Coturnix japonica: one gene and its partners. The protein of the gene in region 2 purifies or fractionates together with the protein of the main gene of each other region. This does not show direct contact. Links are inferred from orthologs where the notes say so. Each region holds a gene or a part of one and is shown on either strand. Other genes may lie near its edges.

What was found.
Region 1: the proteins of EGFR (region 2) and phosphatidylinositol 3,4,5-trisphosphate 5-phosphatase 2-like purify together in Homo sapiens (affinity purification with western blotting; 3 studies listed by BioGRID and IntAct, with this or other methods). This does not show direct contact. The link is inferred for Coturnix japonica from reciprocal best matches to the Homo sapiens genes EGFR and INPPL1.
Region 3: the proteins of EGFR (region 2) and LGALS3 purify together in Homo sapiens (affinity purification with western blotting; 3 studies listed by BioGRID and IntAct, with this or other methods). This does not show direct contact. The link is inferred for Coturnix japonica from reciprocal best matches to the Homo sapiens genes EGFR and LGALS3.
Region 4: the proteins of EGFR (region 2) and EIF2B3 purify together in Homo sapiens (affinity purification with mass spectrometry; 4 studies listed by BioGRID and IntAct, with this or other methods). This does not show direct contact. The link is inferred for Coturnix japonica from reciprocal best matches to the Homo sapiens genes EGFR and EIF2B3.

Annotation. Positions count from the first base shown.
Region 1 is NC_029519.1:1,200,263-1,204,455, forward strand, and holds the start of phosphatidylinositol 3,4,5-trisphosphate 5-phosphatase 2-like, read right to left. Parts: upstream 2,803-4,193; 5' UTR 2,680-2,802; intron 2,531-2,679; 5' UTR 2,289-2,530; coding exon 2,152-2,288; intron 1,386-2,151; coding exon 1,322-1,385; intron 924-1,321; coding exon 785-923; intron 710-784; coding exon 565-709; intron 317-564; coding exon 176-316; intron 70-175; coding exon 1-69. UniProt on the Homo sapiens protein: Phosphatidylinositol (PtdIns) phosphatase that specifically hydrolyzes the 5-phosphate of phosphatidylinositol-3,4,5-trisphosphate (PtdIns(3,4,5)P3) to produce PtdIns(3,4)P2, thereby negatively regulating the PI3K (phosphoinositide 3-kinase) pathways.
Region 2 is NC_029517.1:73,942,651-73,946,161, reverse strand, and holds part of EGFR (epidermal growth factor receptor), read right to left. Parts: intron 3,248-3,511; coding exon 3,115-3,247; intron 1,443-3,114; coding exon 1,343-1,442; intron 1-1,342. UniProt on the Homo sapiens protein: Receptor tyrosine kinase binding ligands of the EGF family and activating several signaling cascades to convert extracellular cues into appropriate cellular responses.
Region 3 is NC_029520.1:51,128,937-51,132,976, forward strand, and holds the start of LGALS3 (galectin-3), read right to left. Parts: upstream 2,803-4,040; 5' UTR 2,681-2,802; intron 1,658-2,680; 5' UTR 1,654-1,657; coding exon 1,636-1,653; intron 1,298-1,635; coding exon 1,034-1,297; intron 810-1,033; coding exon 721-809; intron 563-720; coding exon 394-562; intron 235-393; coding exon 79-234; 3' UTR 1-78. UniProt on the Homo sapiens protein: Galactose-specific lectin which binds IgE. May mediate with the alpha-3, beta-1 integrin the stimulation by CSPG4 of endothelial cells migration.
Region 4 is NC_029523.1:18,532,020-18,535,977, forward strand, and holds the start of EIF2B3 (translation initiation factor eIF-2B subunit gamma), read right to left. Parts: upstream 2,803-3,958; 5' UTR 2,742-2,802; coding exon 2,673-2,741; intron 2,503-2,672; coding exon 2,355-2,502; intron 411-2,354; coding exon 271-410; intron 1-270. Other genes in the region: E3 ubiquitin-protein ligase HECTD3-like, read right to left, coding at 3,161-3,242, 3,344-3,415, 3,487-3,568, 3,698-3,766, 3,909-3,958. UniProt on the Homo sapiens protein: Acts as a component of the translation initiation factor 2B (eIF2B) complex, which catalyzes the exchange of GDP for GTP on the eukaryotic initiation factor 2 (eIF2) complex gamma subunit.

The DNA of each region.
Region 1 (4,193 bases), on a different chromosome or scaffold from region 2:
CGTGGGGACACGGGGGGTTCAAACACTCTGGCCAGGGTCTCCAGCCCCGCCAGCGTGAAGTCGATCTCACTGCAGAGAGACAAAGGAACACAAAGGCTGGAGATGCACAGGGACAGGGACAAGCAGATGGCCCCTCAGCCCTGCCCTCCTCCTGCCATCCCCATGTGCCACTCACCTGTGCAGTGCCTGGCAGGCAGTGACGAGAGCAGCACTGAGATGGCACAGCTGCGGGTGCCCACTGCACAGTGTAGCCAGGTCCAGTGGCAGGTGCTGTGCCAGGTAGTCAGCCATGAAGCCCATGAAGTCACTGGATGGACTGCAAGGAGGGGCAGTGGATGGGAGCGGAGGTGCCCGGGCTCAGAGAGGTGCCAGCCCTGGGCACGGCACTCAGGATTTGGAAACCACAGGGAAAGGCATTTTGTGCCCTGCTCCAGCTCCAGCATGAGCAGGGCTGGGTGTGGGCAGCCACCCATTAGAACATACCCTTGGTCTTGTGTTCTTGGGATGTGCCACCTCCACCCTGCTATGCTGTGCCCACCCCATTGCCCCTGAGGAGCACGTTACCTGCTATGAACCTGCTCCTGAAGCCTCAGCTGCAGCTGCTGTGAGATGTGGGGATGGGTGGGGGGAGCACCAGGCCCTGTGCTCCCCCCATTAACCCTGGTGGGCACCACGCTGCCCACATGGCCACCTCTTCCATCCTCCCCATCTGCGGGCACAGATCCCAGCTCAGCGCCATCACCTCTCTGCCGGCAGCCCCAACCCTTTGCCCCCATGCTCTCACCAGAGTCTTCATTGGCTGCTTCCCGGAGCCGGTGCACAGGGTAGAGCAGAGGTGTCACCAGCCCATTGTTGGGCTGCTGGTAGGCACTGATCAGCTCAGGGAGGCTCCGGAAGCACTTGGCCTGAATGCCCTGGATGCTCTGGGGGGCAGAGAAGATGGTGGCCACCGTATCCCCCCATCCACAAGCCAAACACCTCCAGCCAGGTTCATAGCTAGGGTGGGCGACGGGGGATGCTCTGCACAGTCTCACAGCAGGGATAGTGACAGAGAGGGGACAACATTTTCACTAAGCCTCCCCCAGATGCAGCAGCAGTGGGTGGCCGTGGGGATACCCGTGTGGCATCGTTCCCAGGCGGCTGCGCTGCAGAAAGGGTCTGTGCAAAGCTCACACATCCTGTGCTGCTGCACTTATGCAAAAAGCAAACCGCACCGCCCGCTACATGCAAGAAGCTGCAGGCTGCACCTCGCTGTGTGCTGTGCAGAAGTTGGAGGTGGGGGTGAATGCCCCCTTCCCTGAGCACTGCTTCCCGCACCCACCTGGACAGAGAGCAGCCCTTCACTGTTGGGCAGGATGCGGTAGGTGTGGACGTGCCGCTGGAACCTACGGGAGAGCAGAGCATCTGCACCATGTGCACTCTGCAGGCAGAGGAACTGAGCTCCTGCTTTGGGTAATGAAGCTGTTGCCTTGTGCCTGTCCCAGGGTGCCCCATGCCCCATGCTCCCCAGCATCATGTGTTTCCCTTTTGTACCATGCACCTGGCCAGGAAAGCCACAGGGAACCAGGGGGCATCCATCCAAACCCACAGAAGCACTGCCCATACATTTCCAGCGCATCTGAGCAGTATGTCCCTCAGTTGTAGGGGTGATCCACCCCAGCCCGAACCCCACGCCTCCACCAGCAGCACCTGAAGGTGCTGGGGCTGCTCAAACTGGCAGCTGAGAAGTTAACAGCAGGACCTGTGGTCCGGATGCTGGCGCGACAGAGGTTGAACACAGAGGTGATGTTTGTATTCACACAGAGAGGGCTGTGCTGGCTGCTTCCTTCACCCCACGCAGGGGCCAGCCAGGCACCCAGATGCACCTGAATGTGGGCAGCCCCACAGGGCACAGAATGATGCTCCATGGATGTGGGGTGGGAGCTACACAGGCCCCCCCGCCCCAGACTGAGCTGGGCATCATCAAAAAAGCACCATCACAGACAGCTGTGCAAAGCAGAAGTGGTTGCTGCACCCTGCACACATCCTTTTTGCTGTTGAATGATTTGCAGCCCCAACCTTGCCTTGCTGTCATGCTGCACCATCCCCCCACCCTGCTGCACGGACTGGGGACAAGAAAGAAGCAAAGAGCAGAAATAAGGTAGAACTCACAGGAGGCACAGGGCGTACGCCCCTGCAATGGACTCACTGTCCCGCACCAGGAAGCAGCCATCCCGCCCAGCCTTGGCCAGCAGATCTTCAGCCACCACCCTGCTGATGTCCTGGTGGTACCAGCTTGCTGCTGCCATTCTTATGGGTGGCACAATGTCAGCTGCACTGCGTTGTGTCCCCCACTCCACATGGGCTGATTGCCAAGGAAGGTGAAGGTGGGGGCCCAGAGGCTGGGGGTCCCGACGGGTGATGTGCAGCTCCTGCTCAAAGGGTGCCCCACACTGATCCCCCCAGCTGGGCAGTGCAGCAGGAGTGGATCTGGGAGGGCCGTGGGGTGAAGCTGGGGGTCTGGGTGCTCCGCATCATGGGTGGCTGCAGTCTGCAGTGTGCAGGGGGGCAGAGAGAGGCAGATCAGGGACCCACGGCAGCATCACCCCACCAGCATCCTGCCCTGCTGCACCAGGAACATGAGGCCACACAGGCATCCCAGTGGCATATGGAACCCCGTATGTCACCAGAGGTACTCACCGTCCCTCGCAGACATGACACTGCACACCCTGTGCCCCCACTGCCCGTCCCCTGCAGCCAGGCCCACTGCTCGCCGTCCCCGCTCTGCACTGCTGTGCTTGCCCACACTCTTCCTCCTTTATGCTCTGCACACTCCACATCTGGGACAGCCTCCTTGCTCCTCCTCCCACTCTAGCCCTGCTCGCAGGGGGAAGCCAGCAGCCATGCAGGGCACTGAGAACAATGGGGGCTTCCCAAGCACAGGGGTCTCACCACCACCCTGCTCCCATCCAAGCCCAGAGTCCCACCCCTCAGTTGTACCCAGCAGAGGGGATGGAGAGCTGCATGGCATCACTGCACTGAACCAGAGCTGGCAGTGATGGGGATACTGCTGCAATGTGGGGCTGAGCTCCAGCCATGCAGAGATGGTGATAATGTGGGCACTGGGTGGATGAGAAATGTAGGAATCCACTGCTGCATTCATTAACTCTGCTTGGGGGTGTCCCAGCTTCAGAGAAAAGGGATGTGAGAGGCTCAGGAAGGGCATGGGGACCATCACACTGAGGTTTTGCCCCTCGTGCCATGCAGTAAGCAGACCCCACGTGCCAGGAGCTGTGCAGGGCAGCTGCCAACAGGGCTGTGTTAGGGTGATTAGCACCACAGCACTGTTAATTACAGACAAGCTGCAGCCACCATCTGCTGCAGGAGAGACAGAATGGGGGCTTCACCACCCACGCCAGCCTGGCTCCTCCCTGCTCTTTGCACGATTTACTCCAGGCAGTTTACAAGACTGGCACGTGGGCACACCCTGCAGCAAGCAGCACCAGGCACAAGGATGTCCCCACCACCCTCTGCAATAACCTCTCCAAGGTATCCCCTGAGCTCCTGGAGCTCAGGAGGAACCTGGCCAACTCAAGTGGCTACCACCTGGTTTTGGGCTGGCAACTGTGGGCCAGTGGAATTCCCATCCCTCAGCCCATCCCAAGGGCAGCTGCATGGCATGGAGCAGTGACCAAGGACTCTACCACCTGGAGACCCTCTCCCACCAGTGCAGCTCCAGGCTGTTACTTAACCATTCCCGTGGCTGTGGGTCTGGCGGCAGGCAGGATTAGTGCTGACCACAGTGCCTAATCCAGCTCAGGGCAGGAAGGCACGGCACTGCCAGAGGCTTTGGGATATCATTGCTGTTTGTCTGTCTGCACCCATCAGATCATCCTGTGTGCACGAGTGGAGCTGCACGCAGCATGGGGACCCACAGGTAAGGCTTTGTGATGTTCATCAAATAGGAGAAAGGCAACACTCAGGGACAGGGTGGCTGCAGAGTCCAGTGTCCCATCGCCCATGCTGCAGCCACACTGAGACGAGTAGCCACCCAGGTGGGGCTGCACCCAGACCTCCACCACTGGGAAGGTCACAGTTCACGTGGCCCCTGCCCTTGGTAGAAATAGTGCCTGCTAATCTGCAGCGTAAGCAGCTCTGTGCATGCAATTAAAGAGATCACAAGTCCCAGCCCCTGTCAGCACATGCTGGCAGCC
Region 2 (3,511 bases):
GCAAATCACTATTTTCCTGGTTTCTCTGTGTTTCAACAAGTACAGGAAGTGGAAACTACCCAAGGATGCTGTGCATTTTCAACTTTGAATAGCATTTCATTTGTGTTTAAAGGCAATGCCTCTGGCCATTTTTGGCAAAACTGTTTTTACTCAGACTGTAACAGCACCTGGAAGGCTGTAAGTATTTTAAATCGGGGAAACTGTTCTGGGTCATATAAGGGCTAATATAATTGACTAGATGCTGGAACAAGGGGTGGTCACCACCTGAAGTGGTTTATAATGATAATGGCATCCCTTAGGCCATGGTGGTCTGTACTGGAAGGGAGGATGAAAATAGATCACATTGCTGAGCAGTCACTCCTCAGACTACCGGGCAAGGGTCAAATACAGAAGCTGCAGGAGATGACAAGAGGTGTTTTAAAGAAGCAGGTGATTTGATTTCAGTTAGTGAGAAAGGTTCAGTGAGACAGAGGAGGATTAAGGAGAATTACAAATTTATTATTAAGACATGAATTTTATCTGACTAAAATTGAATTATTTTTCACAGTTTCTAGACTGAACATTTTATAACAGATATGAGTATTCTAAAAATTAAAGAAAAATGATATAAAAACACTGAGAAAGATTCATGACTGAATGGCAAGACTGCACTGTTTTGACTTTTGTAAAGTATTTTGTGTAAGTATGAACATGTATATAACTATATAAAGTAAGAAAATCCAATCATTTTGTTTTGATTGTTTTTCTTTTATCATAATTTATGCCTGCAACTACTTTGACATTGGCTATAAACTTTAACCTAATTAGTTAAAAACAGCTTGAAGTAAAAACTGCATCCTGGGTATTTTTCAGTAAATTCAGATTTAAATTGATTAAAATCTCAATTGATAAAATCTCAATTTTAACAGGTCTTTTCAAGCTACAGTACTTATCCACTATTTTAACAACTCTTTTCCTGTAAGGAAGTGTAATCTGTTCATGCTAACTTGGCTGTTCAATAGCTACACATTCCCAAATTACTATGTCTTCACTTAAGTTTTTTTTTTTTTTTTTTTTTTTTTTTTGCGTGTGTGTGTCTGGTTTTTTTTTTTTTTCCCACAAGACATAAGAAAGACCCTATGTGACTATGAGGCGCTGTGGATAACACATGTAATGGTGGAAAAACACATCCTAAAGTTCTCTCTTGTTTTTTCTCCCCCCAAAACAGATCTTGCTCTCTATTTTTCCCCCTCTCCCCCATCTCTGCCTGACCATGGCAAAGGGTACACCGGAATTCAAGAACATCTCATAATACTGAACTACAGCCCAAAGTACTCGTTTGTTAAGCTAGGTCTATCCTTACAGGTCCAGTGCAGGTTGCGTTGTGTGCAGTGGAGTTCTGCACCAGACACTCCGAGTGGCAGGGGAGGCATTTGGAGTCTCTTTCAAACTCACGTGGCTCCCTAGAATAAAAGAAAAAAGAGAAATAATAAAACCCCAGATAATTAGTGAGGATTAAAATTTGTTTGTCTTTCCACCTCCTGGCTTTTCCAGCTTGAACCCATTAGGATGATTGTCCTGACACAGGGGGAGGTGTTGGGACCATCTTGTCTAATGTCATTACACCAGGGGCACTTTCTCAGCTCAGTGGAGAGGTAAGGGAAAAGGAAATTTGATGGCAGTGGAACACATGGCACTCAAGGACACATACTACAAATGAATTTACTTTCCATTTTAAGCTAATGACACAGAATATTACCAAAGGTTTCCAGAGGTTTTTAAATGACAGTGGTACAAATAGATCAGCAAAATAATTTCAAATGTTTCTAAAGCTTTAAATAATAATTAGGAAAGTTAAAGAGCAATGCTCTGATAATTAAATTCATGCTCAATGAATCACTAAAATATGAAAGTTGGGAACAGATGGTTTCAATAGCAATAAAGCTGTTCTAATTCAAGTAATAGTGTTATTAATTAAACAACATCTACACATCATAGGACACAAAAAATGCCCAGATCTGCCCTTCAGGTCATAAAAGATGCTGGAAGGAATTCACTTATGAAAGACAGCTGCTGAATGGCAAGCTGACAGACAAATCATCATGGACATGAACATCCTGTCAAGCTCTTTTTTAACACTTAAGATTTTAGTAAGAAACAAGGGCAGAAGTATTTACACCAACAAATTTATGGGTGGCAAAGCGTTAATCTATTGCACATTACTGAAGATCATCATATTTTTTGGTGCTATCCATGCTTTCCCTGCCTGTATCACCTGCTGAACTGCCTGAAAAAAAAAACAAAAAACAAAAAAACAGCCACAGCCTTGATACAAAGACACTGGTACGCTTTCCTTGACCCATGAAAAACTGAAGCAATATTTTTGCCTGAAATTACGGCACCTAGTTCTCTGCAGATGAAGCCTATTTTTCCCTTAACTGCAACACTGCATATTGGAGGGGCAAGTTTCTCATCTGGCTGGTGAGCAGGATCTCCCTGTCCACACCAGGGTACCCTCTGCTGTTGCTGTTAACTACATACCTGAAGTGAGAATCATGTCTATTCCCAACCTGTGCTACTTGATCTAATAAAACACAATGCAGTTCAGCAAATCCAATATGCTGAGCATGAGAACCTTTGCAGCAAGGAAGCCTATTCGGGGGTGGCTATGTTTCTACAACTGCCTCTGTGGTTGGTGATGACAACTAATTCTGACTCTTGCCTGATGCGCTTAACATGACAGGCACAGATTGAGATTTTAAATTTCTCTACACCATTTTGGAAGGAAAGGTAATATTTAACCTCCGTGATAGCTTCCCAGCTTGCCTGATTCTCAAGAGCAGTGGGTATGAGCAATGTTGGGCCTGAATTTTTCCCTATGCCTGAAAGTTTCCCTGATTTTTATTTTTTTTTATTTTATTTTATTTTATTTTATTTTATTTTATTTTATTTTATTTTATTTTATTTTATTTTATTTTATTTTAGTGGGGGGGTGGGGGTAGGGGGTGGGAGGTGTACAGTGCTCAGGCTAACACCTCTGCCACACCAGTGAAATCTGAAGACCCTATGTTTTAGTCACTTGCTAGCCACATACACTCTAAAACCAAAACCCCTGTGTGCCTGCATGCCCCTTACCCTTGCAGGATGTTGCACTGTTTCACACACTCCTTCTGACGACTGAAAAACCTGCAGGAAAAGCAGTGGAAGGGCCCTGGGCCCCAGCAGCCCACATCTGAGCACAGCGGGTCACACACATGCCTGTCAGCAGCTGAGAAAAGAGAAGCCATAAACTTCAGGGCAAGAGAATAGCAAATAACTCCATCCTGACAGTCATTTTTTTTCCAAAGTATTCCAAAGCAGACACAAATGACCCTAGTAGAAGAGGAATAATCACAGTTTTCCTAATTCCTGAAGTTTGACTTCTTGTCTTTGTTTTTGGAGCAAATTCTGGCCTTTCAAAATTCAAATGAGATCCATTGTGATCATGTACCAGACTTACAGTAAAGCAAAACCAATACCAGAGGAGATACAT
Region 3 (4,040 bases), on a different chromosome or scaffold from region 2:
AAGTAATCACCCAGGAAGGCGCTGCTGTCACAGCTCTCTGAGGAGTGCTGGGCTTGTGTTAAAGGCACAGCTCAGTGATTAAATCATGGAGGTCAGGACGCTGGTGAGGGTGATGTCCCCAGCGATGCAGAGCTTGGTCACCTCGTTCAGCCTCTTCTCACGGAAGTTGAACTGCAGCAGATGAGCATCGTTGGCTGCCACCTTGAAGTGATCCCCCTCACAGAGCACCTGGAGCTGGAATAGAAACATCAAGTGAGCCAGAATGGAACCAAGGAGCACCGGTCACCTTTGCTGCACTGCAGGAGCCTGACAGCAACCTGCCCCATGGTGACAGCACAAAGAATGCAATGAGAAATGGGAAGAACAGCTTTTCTTTCCTTCTTTTATTGTTACCTTGAAGGGGGACCCAGGTTCAAATGGGAACCTAGGAGCTGTTCTCTCCTCCTTCCCCCAGTTGTTGTTGATCATTGAGTTACAGACAATGACCCTTTTGTGGTCTTCGTTGAAACGGGGGTTGAAGTGGAAGGCAATGTCTTGGCCCCTCTTGAAATCCAGCGAGAACCTGCCAAGGCAACAATCAAAGAGCTGCTTTTTCAGGTAACGACAGAGCAGTGCTGGAGGATTTAAGAGACTCTTTTGTGTCACGTTTGATTTCAGAGAAGCTGGATGTCATTCAGAAAGCGAACTCTGCCCCTAAACACTGCTGCAGCCCGTCTGTACCTGTTGGGATTTGGGTTGATGGTCCCGGTGATGGTTATGAGCAGCCGAGGCACCAGGCCTGATGGCAGGGGCAGATCGTAGGGGACTTTCTGCAGAGGACAGGGATGTGGTGTGAGCACAACAGCAGGTTAACGAGCAGCACAGGACTGACTGTCAGACAAGGGCTGGGTGTTGGCGTGACAGCAATGTGACAGCAATGTGACTGACTGCTCGTGCAACCTGCTGAGGACATTCAGCTCCAGGTCCCTCCCACAGCCCAGCTCAATGAGGAACTGCTGAACCAGAAACCCTTGAAATAGGACAGAGCTGTTACCAGTGGAGCGGATGGAGTTCCAGAGTATGGTCCTGCTGGTCCTCCAGGGTATGGTCCTGGTGGTCCATGATGTGGTCCTGGTGGTCCATGATGTCCTGGAGGTCCATGATGTGGTCCCGGTGCCCCCGGGTACGGTCCTGGTGCTCCAGGGTATCCAGCACCTGGGTACCCAGGGTACGGTGGAAAGGCCCCAGGTCCCGGGGGCTGGTTCCAGCCCTGGGGTGGGGGGGCACCAGGGTTGTGAGCAGGCAGAGCATCGGAGAGCTGGGGATGGAGGGGAGAGGAGGAGGGGGAAGAGAAGCAGAATCCAGTGGGGCTGCCAGCACATGGCCTGCATGGCCTGCACAACACCACGTGCTGGTGCTGAGAGCCCCAAAGTCCTTGAATGCACCTTGATTGGTGTTACACGGATTGGCAGCAACGTGGAATCATAGAATCACAAAATCATTACGGTTGGAAAAGACCTTCACAATCAGCATCAGCCCTCAGTGCCACATCCCCAACTTCCCAAACACCCGCAGTGATGATTTCCCCACTGCAGGTCCCCACCTCCATGCAGTGCCCCCACAGAGCCCTGTGTGTTGGAAGGAGCCGATACTCACAGAGAAACCGTCCGACATTGTCCTATAACAAAAAAGACAAAGGATGGGAAGTCGTTTTATTGCCCTCCCAGCTTACACGGCTGGTGGTGATTCACCATCTACACCATAACCAGGCCCAGAGGTGCCTCATGGTTCCAAATCCAAAGAGCCCGGCCTGCAGCTGGGATGGGATGGGAGAGGAGGGTCCTATAGGGGGACCCCCCTGTGCCATCCCTATGGGGACACGTGGGCTGCAATGGGATTTACAGCCACCCCAAAAGGCGAAGCTGCGCCGTGCAGAAACGCTGCGGCCTGAGGCTGAATTGCTGCTATCAAAGAGTGCATTCATGAGCAAAGAGAGAAGGGGGGGAAATAAACGGGGAGAGGCAAAAATGGGAGGGAAAAAGGAAAATTCCGAATGGAAAGTGGCAAAGTTCTCTTCTAAAGCAACACTGAGCAACACCAAGGGCTGAGTAACACCAAGGGCTGAGTAAACCCAGCCGGGCTGCTACAGCAATACGGAAATCAAGCTGAGTTTCCCCAGCACCAAACTCTTCCTCCAGCAAAATGCAATGCAGAGCCTGCGTGACTTCCAAGCAGGGACTTCCAAGCAGGGACTTCAAGCAGTGACTTGAAGCAGTGACTTTCAAGCAGCCCTTCGGGCACCAACTGGCAGCGATGACTTTCAGCTGCCCCCACTTTGCCGTGCAGGATTTTGCCCTCTGCTTTTCCCACCCCTCTGCTTCCCATGGTGCAGGTCGGGCCTCTCCAAGTTGGGCTGTCCCAGCTCGGCCAGGCAGGTGCCAACGAACCCCCCGAGTCCTGAAAGTCCCACTTTATAATTCATAGAGCGGTTAAGGCTGGAAAAGACATCTAAGATCATCGAGTCCAAACCGTGTCGACACCCGGCTCAGCCTTTGGGAGAACCCTTCATTGGGAAACCATTTGGGTTCAGAAGCAAAGCAACGTGCAGGATGGTGGGCAAAGCCGTACAACCCAACTGCCCAGGGGTGGCAGCTCCGTCCAACCCGGTACCCGCAGTCCCAGAGCTCCCCTACTCCCCTACCTGCAGCTGTCGGGCCGCGCACCAAGGCGGGGTGTCGGGCTCTATGTTGGGGCCGGGCAATATCCCCACCCGGAGCTGCCCGGCCCCGGGGCGGAGCACAGAGCACGGAGCATTGAGCAGAGCCCAGCCCCACGGGCAGCGCAGCACCACGACACCCGCGGCGTCCCCTCCCAGCGGTCTGAAACGTCACCACATCGAGCACCGAGGGCTTGGACGCATCGATGGTTCCGGCTCATTGCGGGTCATCACCCACCCCGACAGCGCCCGGCGTGAGTCATGGGATCATAGAGCCATAAAACCAACAAGGCTGGGAAAGAACTCGGAGAACGAGCGGCAGCCGATGGCCCAGGGCAGGAGACCAGCACAGCGGGTTGGATTCACTCGTGATTGATCAGATGGAGCCATGGCAGCTGTGCAGTGCTATGCAGTGCTGTGCAATGCAATGCAGTGCTGTGCTGTGCTGTGCAGTGCAGGCTGATGGTGCACAGCCCAGGATGGGGCTCTTTTCCGAGAGGTTCTCCTGTTTTTCTCCTCCTGCTGCAGTTACACAACGGCCACGGTGTTACGAAATCAGAACTGAAAACAGGAAACGGAATCTGAGCGTGGCTCCGTTCCTTCGTTCACCTGAATGGGCACAGGACGGAGCTGCGGGGCTGATGGGTCGGACCGTGAGGGCACAGTTTGCTCCCAACCCCCCCGGGTTTCTCCCATCGCATCCTTTGATCAATCCCGAATCAAACCAGAGCTGAGCAGTGCAGCTGAGCCCTGTGTGCTCCCCCCGCCCCCGGCGCTGCTTTCCCAGGACATCCCGGCACCGCCGCACCTTAAAGCAGCGCCCAGCACTCCGCATTTCCCTCTAGGAACGGCCCTTGATAGGCTGCCCTGCAATCATCCACGGAGCTTCAGCCTGTTAAACTCCGTTTATTGAGGGGATTTGGCGTGATTGCCTCGTAGCGATGTTTGCTGTGCGGCTGCCAGCTGGGTCAATGGGCTGCACAGCTCAGGTTGGGAAAGGGAGGAGAGGGCAAAGAGGTCGTTGAAGATGAAGAAGTGCATAAAACCAAGTGGGGGATGTGGCTCTGGGCAGCCTGGGCTGCTGGTTGGTACCTGCACACAGCAGGGTTGGAGCTGGATGGACATTATGGGCCTTTACAACCCATTCTGTGATTCTGTGTGTTTCTGTCATCCCTGAGGACACTGAATTCCCCCAGAGGCAAAAGTCCCCACCTGAATGGGAGAGTTATTTACATGGGCTTAAATCACATCAAACCCAGAAACTGCTGACTGGAAATGAATGATTCCCATCTATTTTATAGGGCTGTTTGGATTTTAGTGAGCCCATAAAACTGCAAACCATCCA
Region 4 (3,958 bases), on a different chromosome or scaffold from region 2:
TTCATTAACCCACCAGAAAGCCCACAAGGACTACAAGGCAGCTGGTGCCCAGCCTGGATTTGCTCTGGCCTTCCTAGCTATTATTTCTATTTGAGTCCTCATATGGGTTCCCCTGTGAGGTGACCTACACAACAGACAGACCTTCTGCAGATTGGGAAATAGCATTACAAGATCAGCTCTCAGGGTATCAAAGTGTAATGGGGAAAAAGAAAAAAGAAGATGAGTTTCAACAAATGTCTTCTAGTCAAGTTCAATCAAGTACAAAAATACCTTTATTTTCTGGTGAATATGCCTCAGCGAATCCGCTGTGCCCATGTCCACGTTGTCACTGATGTACACAAAATCCAGCTTCATTTTCGTGTCCAAGTTTAGCATTTTTTGGATTTCCTTCCTTGTAATTACGATGACCTCTAGGAGAGGAAAGTGGGGTAAGATCAAACAACAGCAGCACTCTGGAGCTTTGCCTTTCACCCTGCCCAATCCTGCACAGCTCACTGGATACCACCACAAAGCACAGCATCACAAGGTATTGGTTAAACTATTGCCAACACCAGCCTGGCAAAGAAATGGAGTAGTTTGTGAACTGGAAGAACTGGTGTCAGGTAGAGGCCATAAGCCCAGACTTTAGCATGAATTCATTGAGAAGGACAAAGGCCTAAATATTAGGAAGGATGACGTGCTTGCAGCTGGGACAAAAGGGAAGCGGTGAATCAGACTGGGGAACAACTACTTGTTAACACAGTTAAAAAGAACCAAATTGTCACCTAACAAATAACTAAAGTTATGATCCAGGGAGGGGATTCATACTACTGCAGAATTTACACAAGAACGTGCTGCTTGGCCAGGGAGCAGAAGCAAGAAAAGCAAGGAGGTGGTTGGTTGCTTATGGAAGCTGCGTACATAAAACTTGCATATCCAGGTTTTCAAGAACATTCTTCACTAGGAGAGTGGTGAGGCCCTGGAACAGGCTGCCCAGGGAGGTTGTGGATGCCCCGTCCTTGGAGGTGTTCAAGACCAGGTTGGACGGGGCCCTGGGCAACCTGATCTAGTAAAGGTGTATGTTTGGTGGCCCTGCCAGGCAGGGGGTTGGAACTACATGATCCTTGAGGTCCCTTCCAACCCGGGTCATTCTGTGATTCTGTGATAGAAAGCCTCTCAAGGATTTCTTAAGAAAACAAAATAAAGGCAAAGGACTATATTGATTTTTCCCTTTGTTGCTGGGCACCAAAACAGTAATAAGCCAACCTGAATACATCTATTGGGTATATGCTAATATACTATGCTAATACGATACACTGCTAATTGGTACATCACCAGAAAGAACAAGAGTTTGGAAAAGGTCACATTCTCAACACAGAACACCGAAGAGATGCTCTATGATGCAGTCACTGAAGAGAAACAAAAGAAGCAGCAAAAAAGCCAAGTACAAAAGCAAAATCCCAAGGCCACCAGCTCCCCCTGTGCTGTTCTGCCCAAAGCCCAGCACTGAGCTGCTCAGTGCAGCAATGACTAAACACCTCACACAGGGCAGGTAACCCTGAACTTCAGGCCAAACTGGAACAACAAACCGAGAGCTATCTGAGAGAGCTGGCGTGCACCTCACAGCATCGTTATTAATGACTCACAGAAATAAACGTGGAGAAGACGCCAAAGTTATGAAAAGCACACGGACGTGGGGTCTTTAGAAAACTGAGGAAGAAGGAGTGAAAGGAGGAAGACTATCAGTTATTGTATTTTTAAACCCTAATCCCTAAATAGGAATCAGGTTCCTCTGAAGAGGTTCCCCCAGCTGCCCTTACAAAAGGAGCGTGTGGAAAGCAAAATATTTCAGTAAATAACACAGGTAAAAGAGAAAATGTTGTTTTCAGTGTATCCATGTATTAAACAGGAATGAGTTAAAGGACAGATCCTGTGCATCCTCATGGAAAGAATAACACTGAGAGTCAATGAAGGTCAGCACCAGCATAAAACAATGACAGAAACCAGAGCCTGAGCTTAAAGTCTGCAGCTGTAACAATCTTTGTAACTGAAGTAAATGCTCAGTCTGGAACATGGGTGTCCATCTTCCTGACACGCTTGGGCTGCACTGTGTGAAGAGGAATTATCCTGGACAGTATATAAAACATATAATAACAGAGACCATTTTGTTGAGGGACACGGTTTAGTGGGAGCTGTTGGTAACAGGTGAACGGTTGGACTGGATGATCTTTTAGGTCTTTTCCAACCTTGGTGATTCTATGATTCAAGCCTTGATGGGGGCTGTGGGGGCACAGGTGCGGCACTGACAACAGCGGCTCTAGTACATTAAGCGGCCTTTAATGCAGCCCAGCTGGCACAGCCCGGGCAGCGCTCACCTTCGAACCCGGCTCGCTCCAGCAGGTTCAGCGGGTACCAGAGCAGGGGCCGGTTTCCCACCGGGAGCAGCGGCTTCGGGATGCTGGACGTCAGGTCCGTCATGCGAGAGCCGCCCCCCGCCGCCATCAGCACGGCCTGGAACTCCATCTGCAACACAGCAACGGCACCGCTCACACACGGCAGCACCGGGCCCAGCCGAGGTAACACCGGTTGGCTTCGGCCCAGCCCGACCCGTGCCCCTGGTGGCTGCTCGGAATCACGCCCGTCCCCCCGTTCTGTCCCATGGCCGCCCCGCTCCGGCCCGTCCCCGCCGTTACCTCCGCTCCGCCGGCGCCCAGCACCTCTCTGACAGAACCACTATGGCGGCGCCGGCGCGCGGTGCGCATGCGCGTGGAGCGCAGAACGCATCGATGGCGGAGAGCGGCGAGAGAGCGCCGATCGCACCGATCCCATCCGAGCCTGGCAGCCAGGGCAGCGAGATGAGCACAGAGAGATGGACGAGTCGGGGATCGCTGCGGGGAGACACAGCGCCACCGTGTGGGCTGGGGTGGAACTGCACCGTGGGGGCTGCAGGATGCAATGCGGGGAGTCGGCTGTAGGGGGACGGGTATCTCTAGCCAGGCAGCAGGAAACAACAACGAGGTTGTACAGAGATGGGAGGGAAACACTGAACCCACAGAATCACGGGGACAAGAGGATAAGGATGGGGATACAACCATGGCCGGGGAAAGGACAGCGCAGAGACCCCACACAGCGCTCCCCACACCACGGACACAGCTGTGAGCAAACAGTTCTTTTATTGCCACTAGTCCCAGTTGTCCTTGTCGGTGTCGATGGACATGCAGTTATACACGGCGAAGCGCAGCAGCTCCTCGCACATCTTGACCCTGGGGGTGAGACACTGGGTTAGGCCGGGGTCTATCACTGACCTCCCTCCCACTGCCCCCCACGGTGGGGAGGCTGAGCGTCCTCATCCCCAGGCACTCACGTGGAGTATTTGGGCAAGTACATGGTGCAGGAGCACGTGGAGGCCTCGGGCATCATGTCCAACCGCTCAGGGCTTGGGAGAAAGGAGAGATGGGTCAGGGGTCTGCATGGCAGGACCACAGCCTGCAGGACAGGCAGACTCACAGGGAACGGTCCGGGTAGATGGTGAGCTGAACCGGGAGGCGGCTGCGGCCGGTGACAAACTTGAGGAAGCGGCTGAGATCCTCTGGGAAAGGACAGGGAACAGAGCTGGGGTCACCTTCAGGGCCTGGGAAAGCCAAGGGACACTCCCAGCAGGAGAAGTGACCCTGAAGGCCTGGCCCAGTGGGTGCAGAGCAGGACAGCGGTCACTCACCGCTGGTGAAGTTCTTGAGGGCATCCCAGAACTGAAGGACACGGGAGCTTTCAAAGTCCTCGAAGGTGACTGCAGCAAGGAACACACAGGGGCTCTGTGAGAAGAGCTCCACAAAGGACATCAGCATGGGGTGGATGCAGGACACAGGGCAGGATGCGTGCAGAGGATGAGCAGCATCCATGAGCGCAGCTTAATGCTGCCCACTACTTACTGAACTTCTTCAGCTCATCTACTGTCACCTCAGGGATCCCGCAGACCTTC